Linked DNA regions of Callithrix jacchus. The protein of the gene in region 1 purifies or fractionates together with the protein of each later gene. This does not show direct contact. Links are inferred from orthologs where the notes say so. Each region holds a gene or a part of one and is shown on either strand. Other genes may lie near its edges. The genes, in order: PTPDC1, MAPK1, PPP2R2A, PPP2R2D and PPP2CA.

Region 1 (3,515 bases):
CAGAAAATGGCAAAGGGGGTATTCATCATATCCAGTTCTGCCTCACTCCACAGTCTGTGCTGCTTCTGCTACACCACAAGGACCCTGGTTTCTCTTTATTATGTTATGAATACGCTAATACTTTGTTATTCATAGTCCTTCCTGTTGCACAGATCATGTATGTAACAAAGCTCTTTATTCAATCTTATGAAGAAGACAAGCTGGGCAGAACTGACATTACTCAAAAACCCTCCTAGCAAAATGGCTATCTATCATGATATTTCCTGAGGCTTTCCAGTGAGGTTAGCCAAGAATCCTGGGATAATGGAAAGTGTTAAACACATGAGCTGTACCCTAACTCTGCCACATGTATGCCATATGACCCTGAGCAAGTCACTTACCCTCTAACCTCTGTGACCTTTAGTATCCCCATCTGTGATACTGAATTCTTAAGATTAACAAGAATGTAGAAATAGTATCATCTGCCTCACAGATACGTTCTCTAACTGTGAAAAATCACCTGAAATAATACATGTGAGATGGTTGTGTACAGGCTTAGGTACCATTATGCCATTCAAATCATGTTCACTTTATTCTTTTCCAGAATTCAACTTATTGTTTTGATTACTAAAAGTCCTAAAATAAAATATAGAAATGAAAAACTCTCCTGATAAAAGGCCTGTGTTCACCTCCAGAAAATGCTTTCATATATGCTACATACAGTCTGGCCCAAACCAAGTCCTGAATTCTTCATCACCACAGGCAGAGCGCACATGGGCACTGCGGCTGACCCAGGAGTGGGGGTGCAAGATTTTCATCTAAAACGGAAGACTCTCTTGCTTGCTAACTCTTAACACACTGTAATGCCCAGGAAACATTTGCTGACTGAATGACTTTTTCAGTTTGGAGTAGGAAATAAAATAATTCATTTTGGGAGAAAGCAATACATTTAACTATTGGATAGGCGAAACACAATTCTGAGGAACACAATTTTTATCAAAAGTTCTCTCATCATATAGTTATCAGTTAGTGTGAAGCTCTAAATTTTCATGCCTCTGTATCTGAAGAGATACTGACACTCAGAAATTTTATATGCCTTGTTTAATCAATGGCAGACTATGAAAGCAAGCTATTAAAATAACTCACAGTAGATAACCTGCCTGCCTGGGGTGGTGACCAACCTGGGCTCAAAAGTCAAGATTTCAGTGTCCAAGTCACTTGGACTTGCTGACAACTGTCCAAGTCAGCCTCCTTTTGGGGTAGTCTGGCTGTTTCTGATAGCTAGGTTTATGAGGCCTATCTTTTCTCTAGACCAAGTGCTGATTCAGAGCAAAGAAAGTGTGACTGACTTAAAACTGTACCCTAGTAAAAGTACAACACAAAAAAAGAGTTAAAAATTTATATTCTAATTGAAGTAAAAGCTAAGAAATGGACCCCAAAGACCCTAAAGTGAATGGCACGCAGTAATCTGTGGTTCCTCCCACTTGCTCTCCTGATTTCCCATAGTTGCCTGATTAGAGCAGGATTGGCAAGTCTGAAGGAGAGGATGCCAAGGAGACAGCCTCACTCTTCTGACCTTGCTCAGCACTAGTGCTGATGAGCTTTGGAAAATAACTATTTTATTTATGTCTCTAGCTCAGTGGTTCTCAAAGTATGGTTCCCTCTGCCAGGCCTCAGGTTAAAGATGCTTCAAGTGAGTTTCTAATGCTGTCTGTTGTGGGCCAGTTGCCTCCACAGACCCAGCAAGAAAGTAGAAAGCTACCAATATCAATGCCTTGTGCGGGTCAAGCATCGTGCTAAGTGCTTTCCTGCATATGCAGATTTAAATGAAACCACACAAACACCCTGTGACTTTTCTGTAACATCAGGTTCGCATCACAGATGAGAAACCTGAAGTTAGAAAGTTAAGTATTATGCAAATGTATCTTCATATTTCACTTGGGAAGTTTGAGAAAATGTATTTCACTTTTGCTCTGACATAAATATTTCCCACATAACTATAATTAAATAAAGTACTAATAATACCTGCCACATTTCTACCTTCCTTTTTAGTTCCTCTTTTTCTATAGATTCGTTTAAATTTGCTAGGGCTTTGGCCGCCAGTATTCTTCTTGCTTCAACACTCAATTCAGATTGCAATGTAGAGTGTGAAGCTGCTTCAGACAGATCTTTACTGTCCTGGATTTCATGTTCAACCAAGAACTGTGTTTTGGGCCTGGAGCCACAGTCCAGAGGGCTTCGGGGAGTCGTGCTGTTCTGCCTGACAGCACCAGGGCTCCCAACACCATGAGTTTTACACTGACAGTGAGACACTTGCTGGTGAGTAGGGTTTGGATCCTTATGGACATTTGAGAAGTTGGGTGAAACGGGCTCCCCAGGGCTGTTTGAGCCTGAAACATCTGCAGAGAAAGCTCCACTCTGCTGTGCTTCCTTTGGAATGAGCCCTCCATGGAAAATTGGTGACCCATTATCTTTGAGTCCTTTCAGGCCTCCAAACATAGACTGACTCCAGAAAGAAAGTGTGCTGCGAACCAAGGCTTCCTTATGTAAGTCTGGTTCTGGAGACTGTGGGACATAACAATGGCTTATGAGCTTCTGCTGCCTGGGGTGACGACCAACCAAGACCTGGGCAGGCACTGTCCGTGGAGTCTCCCCTTGCTCCAGAAGGTTCTCGGCCCTCTTTAAATCTGAGTCACTGTAGCTGAGCCGCCTTTTTAGATGAGTCAGGGGTTGAAGGCACTCAACATTCCGCCTCTTCCAAAGGGGGTCAAACTCTTGCTCATTGGAGAAAACCACGTCTCGATTGTCAAAATCTGCTGCCACTGCAGTGGGGTTAGACGGGTTGGACACATCACTGCTAGGCCTCAGTAACTCTGTATCCAGCTGCATGGTGACCATCTCAGACATGGTCTTTTCTATTTCAGCAGAGAGACCAGGTCCTTCGGACACATCCTTCATCATCACTGGCCTGTTCTCAGCTAAGTCTAGCAGCAATTTGCAAACTAGGTGGATAATTTTTGGCACGTGTTTCAGAAGTCTTGCCTCATAACCATGAAGCAGATGACGCTGGCGAATTAGATATTGAGCTAAGGTGACAGCATGTGCTTTGGGATCACAGCAAGAGAATATATTGCGGAGAGGAGTTAGAAACTGAGTAAATTCCCTTACACAGAGGAGCTGTCCTCTGGTTTGTATGGAATTGGGTCGTTTTGCCCGCACAAACATAATTGCTTGGTCAGCAGTCATTCTTGTTGCAAAAACTAAGTAACAGGCTATTAGAACACCTAAACAGTGAAGAAGAGAAGACTGGTATGAGAAAAGCTTACATTTTTATTCAGTTTATCACTCCTTGATGATTTAAAATTTGAGTATGTGTTAAGAAACCATATAAATAGAGACGCACTTTAAGGACAATTATGATGATAACTTAATGACTTTTTGTAGAGGTATTATTATTATATGCTCCTTACTGCATAGAACTTTATTAAATGTCTATATGGCACCCCCTCCCCATAACTGAGTCATCTCAGTAGCCC
Region 2 (3,970 bases), about 120 Mb from region 1:
ATAGGGTATGTCATCAACCTGATAAAAGGCTATAATTTGAATCTAGGATTCAAATACCCAATTATATTTGCATTTGTGTTTTAGTTAGAAAGGAAAATCATAATAAGAGGACCTAGCATTCAAACGGAGAGTCAGAAGGTCAAACGAGCCTACAGCAGTTGACAGAATTAGTTCCCAGATCTAAACTTCAGACTAGTAAAAACCTTATCAGATAGGGGAAACCTTATCAGATGGGGGTATCTTTTCAAGTGATGTGTCCTAAACTTAAAAGACTTTTTTCAGTCCACATTTTAGATAAGTTAATTTTGTTAAAAGGGCCAAAGGACATGATGGGAAATTCTGAGCCTCTCATAATGAGACACGTTCACGGGCACACTTCCCAGTGAGTGCAACAACAGTGAGATGTATGGTACAGAAATGATGTTATTGGCAATACTTCCTCTCCATTACTTTTTAGGGCCTTATTTCTTTTTTGTGTGTGTGAGACGGAGTTTCGCTCTTGTTACCCAGGCTGGAGTACAATGGCACGATCTCGGCTCACTGCAACCTCCGCCTCCTGGGTTCAGGCAATTCTCCTGCCTCAGCCTCCTGAGTAGCTGGGATTACAGGCACGCGCCACCATGCCCAGCTAATTTTTTTGTATTTTTAGTAGAGACGGGATTTCACCATGTTGACCAGGATGGTCTCGATCTCTTGACCTTGTGATCCACCCCCCTCAGCCTCCCAAAGTGCTGGGATTACAGGCTTGAGCCACCCCGCCTGGCTTTAGGGCCTTATTTCTTTTAGGCTCGACCTAATTTAAATTCTCTCTTGGCTCCTAAACCTGTGAGTTCATGTTAATTTTTACAATTGTATTCAGCATTTTGCGCCTAAATAAAGTGAAAATACTGTAATCCCAGCTACTCAGGAGGCTGAGGCAGAAGAATCACTTGAACCTGGGAGGCAGAGGTTGCAGTAAGCAGAGATCTTGACACTGCACTCCAGCCTGGGCAACAGAGCGAGACTCCATCTCAAAAAAAAAAAAGTGAAAATATGAAAGATTCAATTAAAGTCTCTTTAAAAAAATTTTAAGTAATCTTTCTATCTAGCTGCAATACTTGGCAAAACATGCCTTCTATTGCATTTCTAAAATTATGACGATTGAAATCTGAATACACTTCTGAAATAGACTTACATTTACTTTATAACAGTGAAATACACAAAATTCTGCAATTATTAATTACCCTAAGGAAAGCAGGGTGTTTTCCTAAAAACAGCTGAAAAGAGGTGTGGTGTGTGAAGTAGAATCTCACTCTACAATCTTAAGAATAACTCTTTAGTTCTATTACCTCATCCTGAACTTCACCTCAAAATACTTTATCACCTGAAATACCTTCTCACCTGAAAAAAGGAATAACACCATCTTTTCCTCCTTCAATGTGGCTGTTCAAATAAAATGAAATCATGTATGTTGCACAGTACCTACCATGAAGTGCTCAATAAAATATCGGTTTAATTCCTTCGGTCAACACAAAAGACACTGTGATTTAAGGGAATCTACTTCCACAAGTCTTCACCAGCACAAAATGTTACAGCTAGTTTGCTCTAATAAAAACAATACAGTCACCATCACTTCACTTTTCTAAGGGACCTAAATCAAGATGAGGGAGCCTACATGTGATTTTGCAAAAACTCCAGAAAGGCTGCATACTTATTGACCACTAAAGTCCACAGCAATTGGGCTAAAACATCTGGGAGCATTTATGCTGGTAAAAGAGCTCACTAGGGGACTAAAAAAAAAAAAAAAGTCAAATTAGGCCCAACTCTAAACGGATCTTTAATAAATCAAGAAACTGAGGCTGAGTTAACCTTCCTGAAACGCCAATAGTGTGATATTAAAATCCACTTTAAAGTAAAAACTTCAAGACGGAAATAACACTGCTGTCAGCAATGCATTTTATAAAGCCTGCGCGCAGACCACCATTAGCACCGCTGAGGATATTTAATCAAAGCCGTTGGCTGCAAAGGCGAGTAGAAAAAAAATGACTATTTTGGTGTTCTGCACACACGCGGAGACAAATCGCTTTCAGGACCTCAGCAGCCGCCGCCAACACCGACAAGCATCTGATGGAATTCCCAGTTTACAATCAAGCAAGCCATGATGTTAGCAAATTGAGGAGTGGGGGCGCTTCCGTTGCCTTCCCGAGGGTCCAGACTTTAAAGGCCGCGTTGCGCCCTGGGCCCGAGACCCAGCCTCCGGCCTCCGGCCTCCGCCCCCCACGCCACTCCCTGCGCCCCTTCCCGAGCGACCGCGGGCCCGGGTCTCAATCGGCCCGGGGCACCGCCCGAGTCCCGGCGCGCGGACCGCGGTGAAGTCCGGGTTCGAGGTCGCCGCGGCTGCCGAGGCCGAGGCACGGGCGAGGCCGAGGCTGCGTCCGCCGCGGCCCCCGGTGGTGGGGAGGTCGGGCGTGGCCAGGCACGGACACTCACCACACCATGCCGTAGGCGCCCTCGCCGATGTACGAGAGGTTGGTGTAGCGCGGCCCCACGTCGAACACCTGCCCGCGGACCATCTCCGGGCCCGCGCCCGCCGCCGCCGCCGCCGCCATGTTGGTTGCCGGGCCGCCGCCGCCTCCGCCGCACTGGACTCGACGCTCCGCGGCCGCCGCTCGGCTCCTGTCGCCCCTCCCGAAGGGACCGCGCCGCCGCCGGAGCAGCCGCCGCCGCTGACCGGGAGGAGGAAGGAAGACGCCGGGGGGGAGACCTGAAGAGCCCACAGCCGCTCGAGCCGACTGCCTGCCTGCCTGCCTGCCAGACAGACGGGCGGGCGGAGGGAGGGGCGCGCGCCGAGGAGAGTGCCGGGGAGGGGGCCAAGCAACGTGCGTGCAGATTGGTTCTTCGTGGATGGGGCGGGGCCAGGCGGGCCGGCGGAAGCGACGGGCTCGGGGTGGGGCACTGCGGCTGCGTTGACTGAGGGGCCACCCCCGGGCGTGGTCACGTGTATTCGCGGGGTCGGAGGCGCGGGACTCGGCTCTTGAGAGACTCAGGGAGACAGACGTGGGGCAGAACCTATGGGACTGAAGTGACATGTGGCCGGGGCCCGCGCCGGAGCAGGGTCCTAACAGAACCAGCGAGGGCTCGGAGCTGTGCCTGAGGCTTGACGACGCGCCGTAGCCCGGCGGCGCCACAGCTCAGGCCTCTGCTAATCCGTGGCCCACACGCTGATAAACTAAGAGGCGTTGGCACTGGGGCAGAAACCGAAAGACATGACCCAGACTGAGAAAGATATTTCCATACTGAGAAAGTGAGAAGCACAATTGTCTAGATTAAAAGGAGACACTGAGAGGATAGGAGAATCAGAGCTTAGCTCAGATGTTTGTTGACCACACTCTATGTTCCTGGGGATCCACCCTCATAGAAGTTACATTTTAGAGAGAGGAGACATTTATTTATTTATTTATTTATTTATTAGAGACAGCGTTTATTTATTTACTTGTTTGTTTTTAATTAATTTATTTTTTAGAGACAGCGTTTCACCATGTTGGTCCGGCTGCTGTCGAACTCCCGACCTCAAGTGATCCGCCTGCCTCAGCCTCCCAAAGTGCTGGGATGACAGGCATGAGCCACGGCGCCCGGCCAGACAAATACATTTAATACTCAAGCTGTGGTAAGTACTGTGAAGAAATATAAAGCAGAAGGGAGGGCGCGGTGGCTCTCACCTATCATCCCAGTACTTTGGGAGGCCTCGGCGGGCGGATCACTTGAGGTCAGGAGTTTGAGAGCCAGGTCTCCACTAAAAATACAAAAATTAAAGGCAGGCACGGTGGCTCACGCCTGTCATCCCAGCACTTTGGGAGGCCGAGGTGGGCAGATCACGAGGTCAGGAGTCCAAGACCAGCCTGGACAATATGGTGAAACCCCGTCTCTATTAAAATATAAAAACTAGCCAGGCGAGGTGGTGAATGCCTGTAATCCCAGCTACTTGAAAGGC
Region 3 (4,185 bases), on another chromosome or scaffold:
ATGCATAGCAGTTACTGTCTTATCCACCTAATTACCAGAAAGACAACAAAATGAATAATGTGAGCTGTCATCTCTTCACAGACTATGCCAATCAGCACTACATTCCACAGCAGGCAAAGTCAAGAGAGGTTAAGAATCTTCCCATAAAAATTAGAGATGCTGCTAAGAATGTTTCTGAGCCAAATGTTGATGGCACCTATTTCAATTTACTTATCTAAAAACAATGTACAAACACAAAAATGCATCACCATTTATTTCTATGTGGAATTTATATAACAAAGAAACCCTTATATGGAGCTCAGAGCTTTCATGTGACGATTCTATATGTCTAATCATCTATCGCTCCTTTCACGTAAATTCAGAGTAAAAAATAAAAACAAGGCATAAATTACAAAAGAAACTTAAGGCTGTATTTCAGAAACGTAACTTTTAAAACTGTTCTTACATTTCTTGGACAATAAACACAAAATCATCTTGAATTTTTAATAGTCTTGGCTTCAAGGAAATCCCTCAGGAAAGATTTCTGAAAAAATTATATATCCAAATTTTGCATTATTAAATGCTTTCTTACCTTCTGCTACATCATCATCTACTGCTCCTTTCACCTGAGAAAAACACCACTGAATATCATTCCCTCCTCCAGCTCCTGGAAAGAAAACATACCAATTAAAACTGAGTTCTGCTCATGTTGACTCTCGTAAACAATCCACGGTTGGCATGATCATGACACTAACAGCTTAGTTTTGCCCACACATACAACCACCACCAAAAGCACCACTTTGGAAAAAGGTTAGTCCCCAATAGTTAGTACTGTATTAAAAAGAAAAAAAGGTTCCAGGTATGAAATCTTTAAAGGCGTATGTTCTGTGGTCATCATACATCTGTTCACAAACTTCCCTTCCTCTCAAATATCTTAAAAGGCTTACACTCAGGCAAGACCTACCAGAAAAGTGTAAATACCAAGAGTTAAAGAGTTTTCTTTTTAAGTGTACAAAAAACCTGCAGAAGAGTTAATAAGGTTAAACTACCATGAAACATAGAACGGAGAGAAAACTTCGGGAACATTACTGCCTGGGTGAGGAGTAATGATTCATATGAACCCTATCACCAAAGTGCACACACAGCAAACACTACACCCATTTCTTTGCATTCATTACCAGCAAATCACTGGCTCCAGACAGAGAGGAAAAGAAACCAAAATGAATGCTGCTAAAGAGACTGTCAAAGGAAGCCTGTTCTGCCTCCCTTCACCTCAGCCCTCCACTCCGAAGGACCTGGCAAATAATTCATTTCGCTAGTATGTCATCTCGTGCAAAACAATTTTAATCTCATTTCATCATTAAACACGGCCAACAAGCAACTTGTTTTATAGCAAACCGTAAGTCAATCCGACACGTTAACTTTTTCAAATGGTTTAATTCTCTAAGTAATGAATACAGCACGGTAAACTGGTCTAATCTCGGAATGTTTCTATTTCACGTGCAAGTACTGAGAACGAAATGGTGAAAACGTCCTGAGACTCTAGGGAGAAAGACACTGAATCTAAATCTGGAACCCATTCTACTACATGAAGGAAAAGACTTAGCAACACCAACATGTACAAAAAGAATTCTCAAAGCAATTACATTACTTCTCTCTCCCCTGTCACCCCTATTCCTTGCTAAATTTATTTCCAAACTGGTTTTCTCTCTACATCCTTTCCCCCCCCCTCCAAAGCTTCTACCTAAATCTCTCTCCTCTTTGCTATTTATATCTCTGAACTCCGCAACTATTTTAACTAACTCTACCAAACCCTTTTGGGAAAAGGACATCTGCAAAAAAGCTAACATGTTAAACGGAAAGTTGAAATTATGTTTTTCATGCAACTTGCTGTACATGAAAGGCCTTGCACTCTTCGGTGGTAAGAGGGAAAGAAACGGAAAGGAAATGGTTTGAAACAAAAAATTTAGGCTTCCAATCTCAAAAATATTGGCATCCACAGTGGGGGAAAAAAAAGACACATATGGCCCCACTGCATTTTAACTTGTAAGGCGCTCTTCTTTCTCAGTGCAAAATAATGTGTATATACACCCAAGAAGGTTTGCAGCAGGGGGGGAAATAGAAATTAAATGAAGACCTGCAGGATAAAATGAAAATAAAGACGGGGGGCGAGGTAGGAGAGGATCCACCCGGCTCCCGAGCGGGAGAGACAAATCTGCACGCGCCCCCACCCCGCCCCACCCACGCCTCACCCCAAGCTCGCCGGCACACCCCACCCCCACCCCCGCCACGGCGCCAGCTCCGTTCTCCAAGCCCAGTGGCTCTCGCCGCGACCACTCGCCTCCCCGGAGTCCTCCCCGCCTCCACCCCACCCCCCTGGACCCCACTCCCTCAAACCCGAGGGGCGCCCCGTGGCTCCGCGCAAGGCGCGGGCGGTCGCTAGGGGGTGATGGAGGGAGGAAGAAGGAAACGGTGCCTTGTCAGGGGGCAAGGGGAATTTCTCCTTTACCTGCCATGTTGCGCTGCAAATGGTGACCCTGCGGGGTTCCTCGGGGTCTCCGCTTCCTGAACTCACCCCCCTCACCTGGGGATGGGGGGGTAGAGAGGGCGGATGGCGGCGGATGGCACCTGCGGGGGGAGGGGACAGGGGCTGGGGGAAAAGGAAGGAGGGGCGGGCAGAGCAGCCGGCAGGATGCTAGATTTCACTCTAGGGCTTCCCCGCTCGTGCTCTTTCTCCGGCAGCGGCGGCGGCGGCTACGACAGCGACGGCGGCGGCGGCAGCGGCAGGGGCAGGCGACTCCACTTTCAAAATGGCGCCGGCTGGCCTGGTCAGTGACGTCACCAAGGGGGCGGAGCCGCCGGGCTGGGCGGAGAGCAGAGGGGGAGGGGCGGGGGAGAGGCCGGGCGGGCTCCTGACCACGCCCCCTTCCTGCTGCGCTCTTGCCCCGCCCTCCGCGTCCTGGCCGGTGCGGCCTGTGACGCGCCCGCGTCTCGCGGTGGCGCCCCCTCTGCCCGTTCCTCCTGCGCCGGGCCGCGGCTGTCTGCGCCTCGCGGTGTCCCAGCCCCTCGCGCTAGCGCCGGGGCTCTGGGGCGGGCTCAGCTGTCCAGTTAACGTGCTCGTCTGCAGGAATTCTTGGGGTCTTGTGCCTTTTTTGAGAATACCCGTATTGCTACTTAGGAAAGTGTCGCTTTGCGCCAGCCCTGACTCCACAAAGGAAGGGACAGCAGTGCAGACTCGCTGCTCAGCCGGGATGAAAGTTCACGGGGTTCAGAGGGACACGCTTGGGCTGGTTCCATCTGGGTGAATTAAATGACCTTCGCGTGGGCCCCAGGAACCAAGACGGGAGTCCTGGGCACTGCGGCCACTAAGGGTGGTTTCTAACAGAAACCTGAGTTTGCGATGAGAAGGGTATGGCCCGAGAAGTAGCTTGGGTCTCTCCAGCTAAATAAACAATGGTGGAATCCGTGCTTAAGAGCTGGGCTCAGGGTGGGGCGCGGTGGCTCAGGCCTGTAGTGCCAGCACTTTGGAAGCCAGAGGCGGGAGGATCACTTGAGGCCAGGAGTTCCAAGTTCAGCCTGGAGAACATAGGGAGACCCATCTCTACCAAAAAAAGAAATAATTTTTTTTTTTTTTTTTAATTAGCCAGGTATGATGGCGTGCCTATAGTTTCAGCTACCAGGAGGCTGCGGTGGGAGAACTGCTTGAGCCCAGCAGGTCAAGACTGCAGTGAGCTGTCAGCCTGGGCGACAGAATGCATTCCTTTCAAATCTAAACCAAACCAAAAAAAAAAGCTGGGCTCTGAAGCCAGGCTGTCTAATGTGATTCCAAGGCTCAGCAGATGAAGATGACAGTCCTACCTGATAGGATTGTTGGTGAGATGAAATGACTTAATTTGAGCACATGATAAATGTTAGTTGCCGTTATTATTAGATTTGTATTGAAAGCATCGTCAGTAAGGTTAAGAGGTAGAAGGAAAAAAATGAACAGGAAATGCCAGTCATCAGCTAAGAGGGGATGTGCACTTCTGCTGAAAGATGCTCTAATGATGCAGTTGCTATATACGGCACACTTTACATATCTCATTCCATCTCCACAATACTCCTAGGAGATAGATATGCACATTTTACACATGAAGACCACCTGCAAAAGCATCCAGAATTTGGCCTAAGGCTGAATGGAGTGAGAAAGGCGTTTGGAGACCAAGA
Region 4 (3,515 bases), on another chromosome or scaffold:
ATGCCCCCTGCTCCCTGGCTGCTAGCTAGAAAGGAGCCCACGTGAGGATGGCGAGGACCCCCAGACCATGCACAGCCTCAGGAGAACACGGGTTCTCCCGGAAGCTGCTGCTCAGATGGGTGATTAAATGCCACTCTAACCTAAGCCAATATTTTCTATCATCCATCAGCAAATTCAGGAAAAAAAATAAATAAAAAAAGAACAAGTAATGTTGGTTTTTCAAATGCAGCCTATTTAAAACTATCTCTGATTAAACCAGGCAGGCAGTGGACTTCAGAGAACTGTTTCCAAACGTAGAAGGAAATCCGTATTTTTAGGAACAAATGTTTCAATTCACAGAGAACTTACATCGCAGGCCACTGTGCAGCAATGACATTTACGAGACTAGACTCAGATACAGGCGTGTAAAGAACAAGAGAAATCACCATCTAAAGAGCAGCCTCAAGGAAGATGCCAGTGTCCCTCTGAGGAAGGATACTAAAGCTTCTATCTGTGATTTCTAAGTGCCATAAATTAATTCTCAGGTCATCTGCAGAAAGATACGTTTCATGATCACTATTTACTGAAATGGAATTTATATGATATGTGTGAGCATTTGCAAAAATTCGCCGTGGACTCGCTTCTACCATTAGATCCATGGGCTTCAATATTGGGACCTAAAAATGGAAGGAAACAGGAATTCAAAACAAAGATCGCAGTGGCATAGAATTAAAACACTTACAGTAGATAACAGAGGAGGACAAGTTTGCGTCCATGGCTAAGTAAGAACTGCGTACAGGCAATACCTCTAAGTAACCACTTAGCAGTTATGAAAATAGGCTACAAAATGGAATACTCTATTCCAAGTCTTCCCCCTTGCTTCCATTGCTGAGGCTGACATGTTCCTGCTGAATAAAAAGCTGGCAGGCTAACAAGCTGCCCGGGCGCTGAGGCCTGCGCTCGCTCCCTCTCGTGTGTCCTCCAGTGGCCACACTGAGACGCTGGACAGCAAAGTCTTCCCCTCCCTTTGTCCTCTCCTTGCAGCCGGATGCACAAACCCTCCCTCACTGCACCAGGAGTATGCTTCTCGGAGCAAACCCCACAAGCCTCTGCCGGCTCCAGGGACTGCACAGGAGGGTGCACAGGAGGGCCCTGGGGAGCTGAGGATGTTCCATGTCTCAGTCTGGGGCTGGCTATATGGGCATGTCCAGTCAAATGGAGCTGGTCACTTATGGGGCACATGTATTATTATGGGGTATGTATTATATATTATACTTCATTTGTGGTTAAAACAAGTAAAAGGTACCTCCCGTACCCATTTCTGTGTTGAGTGCTGGGAAAGTCCATTTCCAATCACACTGAAATGGAAAGGACAGAGAAGAGGGTGCTGGCCGGAGGGCGCCTGTGGTCAGAGGCGAGAGCTCAGGCACGAGGAATAGCATCACACGTGAAAAAAGGAAAAGGGCCTGCATCTCACTAACATCCAGCTGGAAGAAAAGCATAAGCTTTAAAATCAAAACAAAAAAATTAATGATAGGATCTTTAGTTATTCTTGTAATTAGAAACCAAAAGGAAGAACCGTGAAAGCTTAGGGGAAAAAAATCTCTCAGCTGAGTCTTGTCTGGCTGATTTTATAGAAAATAAACTTGAAACAGTATGTACAGTGAGACTTCCCTGATTTTAACACAGTTAGTGCTGACCACACCCTTCGAGTCTCTAGAGAAAGGGTCAGGTCTACCAGGCTTAAAAACACACACCTGCCACAATCCTCTAACAAACCTCCAATTAATCAAAACACACGATACTTACAAAGATTCCTTCCTTTATTTAAAAAAAATTTCATTTACATACAAAATAATATGTTTTCATTTTTAGAGATGGGGTCTTGCTATGTTGCCCAGGCTGGTCTTGAACTTCGGGGCTCAAGTGACCCTCCCATCTCAGCCTCACAAAGTGCTGGGATTACAGGTATGAGCCCCCGCGCCTGGCCAAGACTCCTTCTTTTAATTACATCCCTTTCCTGGCACTAAAATGATTTAGACAAAAAATTTAAAAGCAGCAACATTTCTGACTCTTCCCCAGTTAGGGTTAGAATGCATTAACAGCCCACTCTGAACTGTAAGATCTCAAATACTGACCTAAGTCAATGTAGAGAATTATGTAGTCTGTGGTCTCTTCTCCGAGTACTGACTAATGAAATAACTACACTTCTCACATGCCTTCAGTAGGGCCACCTATTATACCTGTTTTATTTAGGCGAAACCTACAAAAGCAGCCTTAAATAAAACCAAGACTGGGCCTAATAAAGGCCTACTGTTTTCTCAAAACAAGCACGTGAGCTTGAGGGTGGTGGCGGGGTCCCATCAGGAGGAACAGGGGTTTCTGAGGGTGGGTTGTGCACATGTACCCCGTGGGAGATGGTGGGAGGTGCTGCTGGCTGCAGAGATGGACAAGGCTGGAGCAGGTCAAGTGCCCGCCCTTGGGGTCCCATCACTTCCAGTTTAGAATCAGTGCCCGCCCTCGGGGTCCCATCACTACCAGTTTAGAATCAGTGCCCGCCCTTGGGGTCCCATCACTACCAGTTTAGAATCAGTGCCTGCCCTCGGGGTCCCATCACTTCCAGTTTAGAATCAGTGCCCACCCTCAGGGTCCCATCACCTACCTCCAGTTTAGAATCAGTGCCCGCCCTTGGGGTCCCATCACTACCAGTTTAGAATCAGTGCCCGCCCTCGGGGTCCCATCACCTACCTCCAGTTTAGAATCAGTGCCCGCCCTCGGGGTCCCATCACTTCCAGTTTAGAATCAGTGCCCACCCTCAGGGTCCCATCACTTCCAGTTTAGAATCAGTGCCCGCCCTTGGGGTCCCATCACTTCCAGTTTAGAATCAGTGCCCGCCCTCGGGGTGTCTATCTCACTTCTCATTTAGGATTAGCAGTTTCATGATGGAACTGCATAGCTACTGTCACTATCACTAAGAACAATATACACTAATCCACGGACGCAAGAGCAGCGGTCCTGTGTGACAGACGTCACCCACAATTTAGATGAAAACATCCTGGTTCAAATTAGGACCCTATAAGCTAGATTTTCAGCAAATGCCACAGCCCTTCCCAGCTTTGATGAACTCAGGAAATACAGCGGTAGTATGGATGTGACAGGTCTGAGGACACTCCTCCTGGAGAGTGCCTAACCCCAGGTGCACCCGCCCTGCACAGCAAAGCTGGAGAAATGGCACCAGAACAGACCCAGCATCATTCCTAGGGGCACGTGTGTTAGCAGCGGCCTTCTGTGTGGCACTTCCAAAGACTAATGTGGAATGGGCTTGCTCACTCGGTCTTCACTTGATAAACAATAGTGTAATGGGGCTGAAATCTCATTAAAAGCCAGCCAACCAACCACCCCAACCACCCACCCAACCATTAACCAACTAACCAACCCACCCACCCACCCCAACCAAATCACTCAACCAACCACCCAACTGATTAACCAACCACCCAACCTATTAACCAACCAACCAACCCACTCACCTACCCCAA
Region 5 (4,279 bases), on another chromosome or scaffold:
ATTGTTGATGGGATAACAAAATAATGGCCTCAGGATTTTTTTTTTAGTAACAATGACTTCTCACAGTATACATCTACCTTTACTATTAAAGTCTTTCATTTAAATCAGGCATCTTTAGGTGGGTAGAAGGCTTTTTTATATTATCGTTCCTTCTTGTAAGTGAAGAAATTGCCAACTATTCTCAAACAACTATCTTTTCCTCCCAAAATACTACTATTATATGTTAATCAAAAAAATTAGCCCTCAATATTTTCAAAATTACTCTTTAGAAGGCAATCACACCAAAAAGCATATATGCACCTTTCACCCAGAGATGCCACTGGCACACAAATATAAACAGTGAGAGACAGCTTTTGTTTTACTAGAAAGACTTGAACAAAAAATATCAGTTCATGGGTTTCACATACCCAAAAACCTGTCTTCAAATTAATTTGGTTTGAATAAGCTCCTGAAAGTTGAAATAATTACAAGTTATAAACAGTATTAAGGTCGTATAATGATGTCCACCAAAAAGGACCCATTCCACGGAAACTTTTATCTAACATCTACTCTCAAATATTATTTCCATCTTTTTTGGCACTCAGAACTAAAATTTGCGTAAGCTGAGCAAGCAATGGAGATTTACTTCACTATATGTTAGTTTTACAAAGATGTGGAAAGTAATAACGATGCATTAGCTTCACCCACCCCACTTTAGCATCCAGTATTATCTTATTATCTTCCATAGTTTCCAACACAAACCCTCTACTTCCATGCTCTATCTCCCACACATTTCCATACCATGCTTTTCCTTCCAACTAGATTCATAGTTCCTCAACAATAAGCATACTTAGTCTTCATTTATTTTCATTCCGCTCAAAAGAGTATGCAATCTTGGAGCTTCAATAGGTGCTCAATATTAAACACACTACTAATTTAAAAAGGAATTGACTGTATAATCTCAGGCCAATTTTAAACCTTTAAAATAAATACCAACCTCATTTGATGTGAGGTTGGTAAAGAAACAGGAGATTCAATACCTTGCTACCATTAAAATACATCTCCAAGATGATGTGCTACCTCATCAACTAGTAGTAGTTTTGTTCATGCTTGGGAGAAATAAATCTAAATCCGACGTACTTAAATTCCAATTGTTCATAACATGGTTTCTAAAACATGGACACATACACCAAACTCATGAATCTAATTTTCACATCACACCACAAACAAATCAGGATAATAGTTCTCCATTAATTCTTTTCACTAATACAAAATGATAGTATGATACTCCACTATTCTGTACTAAAGTGACATACTGCAAAGTTATTTTTGAAAAGAGAAGTTTAAAAGTGTTCACAGCAGAGATCAGCATTTTTGTGTACTCTAGAAAACTGAGTTACAAGAATTTAAAAATGCAACATACAGCTAATAACTAAATTGGCTACCTGTTTCCCCAATCCCAGGGGAAAACAAAACAGAATTAGCTAATACAAAATATAAAATTTAAGTGTTATTAAGTGGACTACAACATTCTATTTTCAATGCATGTGAGACATTATTTAAACACTAAGCACAATGTTTGGAATACAATCTTAGTCGACAGTTATTACTAATACTACTACTTGCAACCACAAAATTCTATCAAGTTAACTTTTGCAACAAAGAGAAGATACAAAATTTACCGCTCTTCCATTTTGTTGATTTTTAAAATAAATGGCAAAATGCCAAGTGTGTTAAGCTTAGAGAAGGCTTTGAGTCAGCAAATAAATCATATTCAACTGACACTTGATTTCCAGTCCAAAAGCTCCTCATGTATTATGACTTACCAAATTCCCCATTTCTTCCAACTATGAAAAATAAGTTACACTCCTCCAACTACCATGACCTTCGTAGAAATTAGGTTAAGGGAATAATTTTAAAATTCTTAAAGACACCCTCACTTTGGTTTCTGGAGAAGACCGCTTGATGAGTTTAATACAAACCACCCAGGGGTACTAAAGATGTGTGACCTTTACATATGTTCTGGGATATGGCCTAACAAGACCGCCTTTGGGGACAGTACCTCTGGACAGCTTTGGACCTAACTAGGCCTTGGGTACAAGTGGAAAGCCTCTTAGCCCACCGGAGAAGTCTAGGTCCCATTCCCAGGCCGCAGAATCTAAGCCCGCTCACCCTCAAAACCGTCCCTGATGCTGACCCACAGGGTCTCCGCTCCCCCACCCCAGCCACTTCGTCTGGCGCCAAGGCCGGGAGACTCAAAAGCCCAAGACCCGGGTGAACGGCGCCATTTTAGGCGGCGTTGGCGGCGACAACCAATCCCTGCGCGGGAGGCAGGGGGCGCCGGGTCGTTCGGGTGCCGCCGCCGGCCGGGCTGGGCGCCGGTCTCGGTGACTCGGGGGGCCCGGGCCGGCGGCCTCCGCCATGTTGCACCCTCCTCACGGCCTCCCTTTCTTCGGCGGGGTCTGCCCCACGGCTGCTGCCTGAACCCAGACTACACCTCACCTTCTCGCAGAGGCTCTTGACCTGGGACTCGGACAGCTGCTTGCACTCGTTCAGCTGCTCGATCCACTGGTCCAGCTCCTTGGTGAACACCTTCTCGTCCATGATGCCTCCCGCCCCAGCCGGCTGTGGCTCCGCGCTGCTCCCGCGCCGCCGCCCGCACACGGGCCACACGCACACGCCGCCGCCGGCTCCTCGTGTACTTCTGGCGGCTGCTGAGGCTGGCGCTGGCCCGCTGGCTCTCACCGCAATACTCGGCCGTCGGCCGTTGCGCCTCCTCCTCCGCTCGCTCCGGCACCAGAGATCGGCTCTCTGTAATGGCGGCCGCCTGGCGTGGTGACGTCACGCCGGCGTTAGGAGGTGGCGGGGAGCGGACGGGAAAAGGGACCGGGAGCGAGCTGCGCAACTGCGATGCCCAGCCCCGGCGGCCGCACTACCGGAGTTGGGGGCGCTAACTGGGGGTCAAAGCGCAGGCGCGACTTAGCCGGCTGGTAACAGTCGCCTTCGCTTTTAGGGCGTGGCTCCCGGAGGGCGGGTGGTGGGGGAAGGGAAGGATGGAGTTTGAGCGTGCGCAATGCGCACAGCGGCGAACCGGACTAATCCCTTAGCGCTACGCCCCGAGAGGTGAGAGATTGGGCCACGCGCAGACGCAGACCGGATGGAAGTGGGGGTTACTGTCTGTCTGTAACTGGTTCCCCTGGGAAGGCTGTTCTGGTGATGAATTCAGCTCCTCGTCTGGGGCCCGGCAGTCGCGAGAATTGCGACCCCATGGCTCCTCCGGGGTGCAACAGCGCTGGAATTGTGTGGGTTTCCCGCATCTCGGGGGCAGGAATGGGCAGCGAGTGGCCGCCTGGTTGGAATAACCACCCCCACCTCTGGGCGCGGTTGGTGTAATTAGGTCACTCGTAGGTGGAGGAGCGAGTGCCTACCGTGGGAGTGCCGCGCAGTGCACCTGACTTCCCCGGCACACACCAGTCCCCTGACCTAGGTGTCTCGTCGGGCGCGATGGCGATGGCGAGGTTTGGGCTTTTCTTTGAGCCTCAAACCGCGGCTTGGTTCCAGGTGCACGGCTCCTCGCCGATGGTTGCTTTCCTCCAAGTTTGATTCCCCTTGGGAATGAGACCCTCAGCCCCTGCCCTCCCTGGCCTACTTTCTAGAGGAGAATCCCATAGAAGATGGATGCACCTGTCCTGACCGCGTCCCGATGGCGTTAGAAGCAGATGTGATCCGCGCTTTAAAGAGAGCTTGCATACCCTGGGATTGAATCTCTGTCTGGTTGTGAATCGCTTTGGAGTTTGCAAAACGTTTTCACATTCCATTGTCCCTGCTTTTACATACACATCTGGTTCCATAGAGCGCCAACTATGTGCCAGATCCAGAGGGGTAATCCAGACGGATGACCAGCCCTGGAGCTTGTATTCTCAACAGTATGGGCTAAATATGGTTTGGGATAGACAGAGATCATGATGCCCCCGAATTTGACAGATATAGAAGCTTTCCAAAGAACATTTAGCCATAAAGGGAAAGGCAAGAGCTGAACCTGGTCGCCTTTTCCAGGCGCCCCACCCTCAGTATCAGCCAACTCTTCCACACCAAGTGCTCAGCAGTGCTCGGAAGGAGAGTGCTCACTCTGCGGCTCTGAGGGCATCATCCCCACCAACAGGCTGAAGAAGGCACTGGAGGCCCCAGCAGCCAATAGCAAGACTGAAAATCCTCCTTTATCCAAGACAACCTGTTTGGCGAGGCCAACTGGCTTGGCCTCCTGGGCTGGAAATTGTTAATTCTGCTTTCCCTTCATACC

Evidence for each region.
Region 2: the proteins of PTPDC1 (region 1) and MAPK1 purify together in Homo sapiens (affinity purification with mass spectrometry; 3 studies listed by BioGRID and IntAct, with this or other methods). This does not show direct contact. The link is inferred for Callithrix jacchus from reciprocal best matches to the Homo sapiens genes PTPDC1 and MAPK1.
Region 3: the proteins of PTPDC1 (region 1) and PPP2R2A purify together in Homo sapiens (affinity purification with mass spectrometry; 4 studies listed by BioGRID and IntAct, counting the BioPlex papers as one, with this or other methods). This does not show direct contact. The link is inferred for Callithrix jacchus from reciprocal best matches to the Homo sapiens genes PTPDC1 and PPP2R2A.
Region 4: the proteins of PTPDC1 (region 1) and PPP2R2D purify together in Homo sapiens (affinity purification with mass spectrometry; 5 studies listed by BioGRID and IntAct, counting the BioPlex papers as one, with this or other methods). This does not show direct contact. The link is inferred for Callithrix jacchus from reciprocal best matches to the Homo sapiens genes PTPDC1 and PPP2R2D.
Region 5: the proteins of PTPDC1 (region 1) and PPP2CA purify together in Homo sapiens (affinity purification with mass spectrometry; 4 studies listed by BioGRID and IntAct, counting the BioPlex papers as one, with this or other methods). This does not show direct contact. The link is inferred for Callithrix jacchus from reciprocal best matches to the Homo sapiens genes PTPDC1 and PPP2CA.

Annotation. Positions count from the first base shown.
Region 1 is NC_133502.1:71,716,688-71,720,202, reverse strand, and holds part of PTPDC1 (protein tyrosine phosphatase domain-containing protein 1), read right to left. Parts: intron 3,264-3,515; coding exon 2,005-3,263; intron 1-2,004. UniProt on the Homo sapiens protein: May play roles in cilia formation and/or maintenance.
Region 2 is NC_133502.1:193,829,249-193,833,218, forward strand, and holds the start of MAPK1 (mitogen-activated protein kinase 1), read right to left. Parts: upstream 2,801-3,970; 5' UTR 2,589-2,800; coding exon 2,470-2,588; intron 1-2,469. UniProt on the Homo sapiens protein: Serine/threonine kinase which acts as an essential component of the MAP kinase signal transduction pathway. MAPK1/ERK2 and MAPK3/ERK1 are the 2 MAPKs which play an important role in the MAPK/ERK cascade.
Region 3 is NC_133514.1:15,258,888-15,263,072, forward strand, and holds the start of PPP2R2A (serine/threonine-protein phosphatase 2A 55 kDa regulatory subunit B alpha isoform), read right to left. Parts: upstream 2,807-4,185; 5' UTR 2,496-2,806; coding exon 2,489-2,495; intron 647-2,488; coding exon 572-646; intron 1-571. UniProt on the Homo sapiens protein: Substrate-recognition subunit of protein phosphatase 2A (PP2A) that plays a key role in cell cycle by controlling mitosis entry and exit. Involved in chromosome clustering during late mitosis by mediating dephosphorylation of MKI67.
Region 4 is NC_133513.1:125,247,058-125,250,572, reverse strand, and holds part of PPP2R2D (serine/threonine-protein phosphatase 2A 55 kDa regulatory subunit B delta isoform), read right to left. Parts: intron 1,467-3,515; exon of another isoform or gene 1,295-1,466; intron 657-1,294; coding exon 479-656; intron 1-478. UniProt on the Homo sapiens protein: Substrate-recognition subunit of protein phosphatase 2A (PP2A) that plays a key role in cell cycle by controlling mitosis entry and exit. Involved in chromosome clustering during late mitosis by mediating dephosphorylation of MKI67.
Region 5 is NC_133503.1:74,102,603-74,106,881, reverse strand, and holds the start of PPP2CA (serine/threonine-protein phosphatase 2A catalytic subunit alpha isoform), read right to left. Parts: upstream 2,801-4,279; 5' UTR 2,584-2,800; coding exon 2,482-2,583; intron 1-2,481. UniProt on the Homo sapiens protein: Catalytic subunit of protein phosphatase 2A (PP2A), a serine/threonine phosphatase involved in the regulation of a wide variety of enzymes, signal transduction pathways, and cellular events.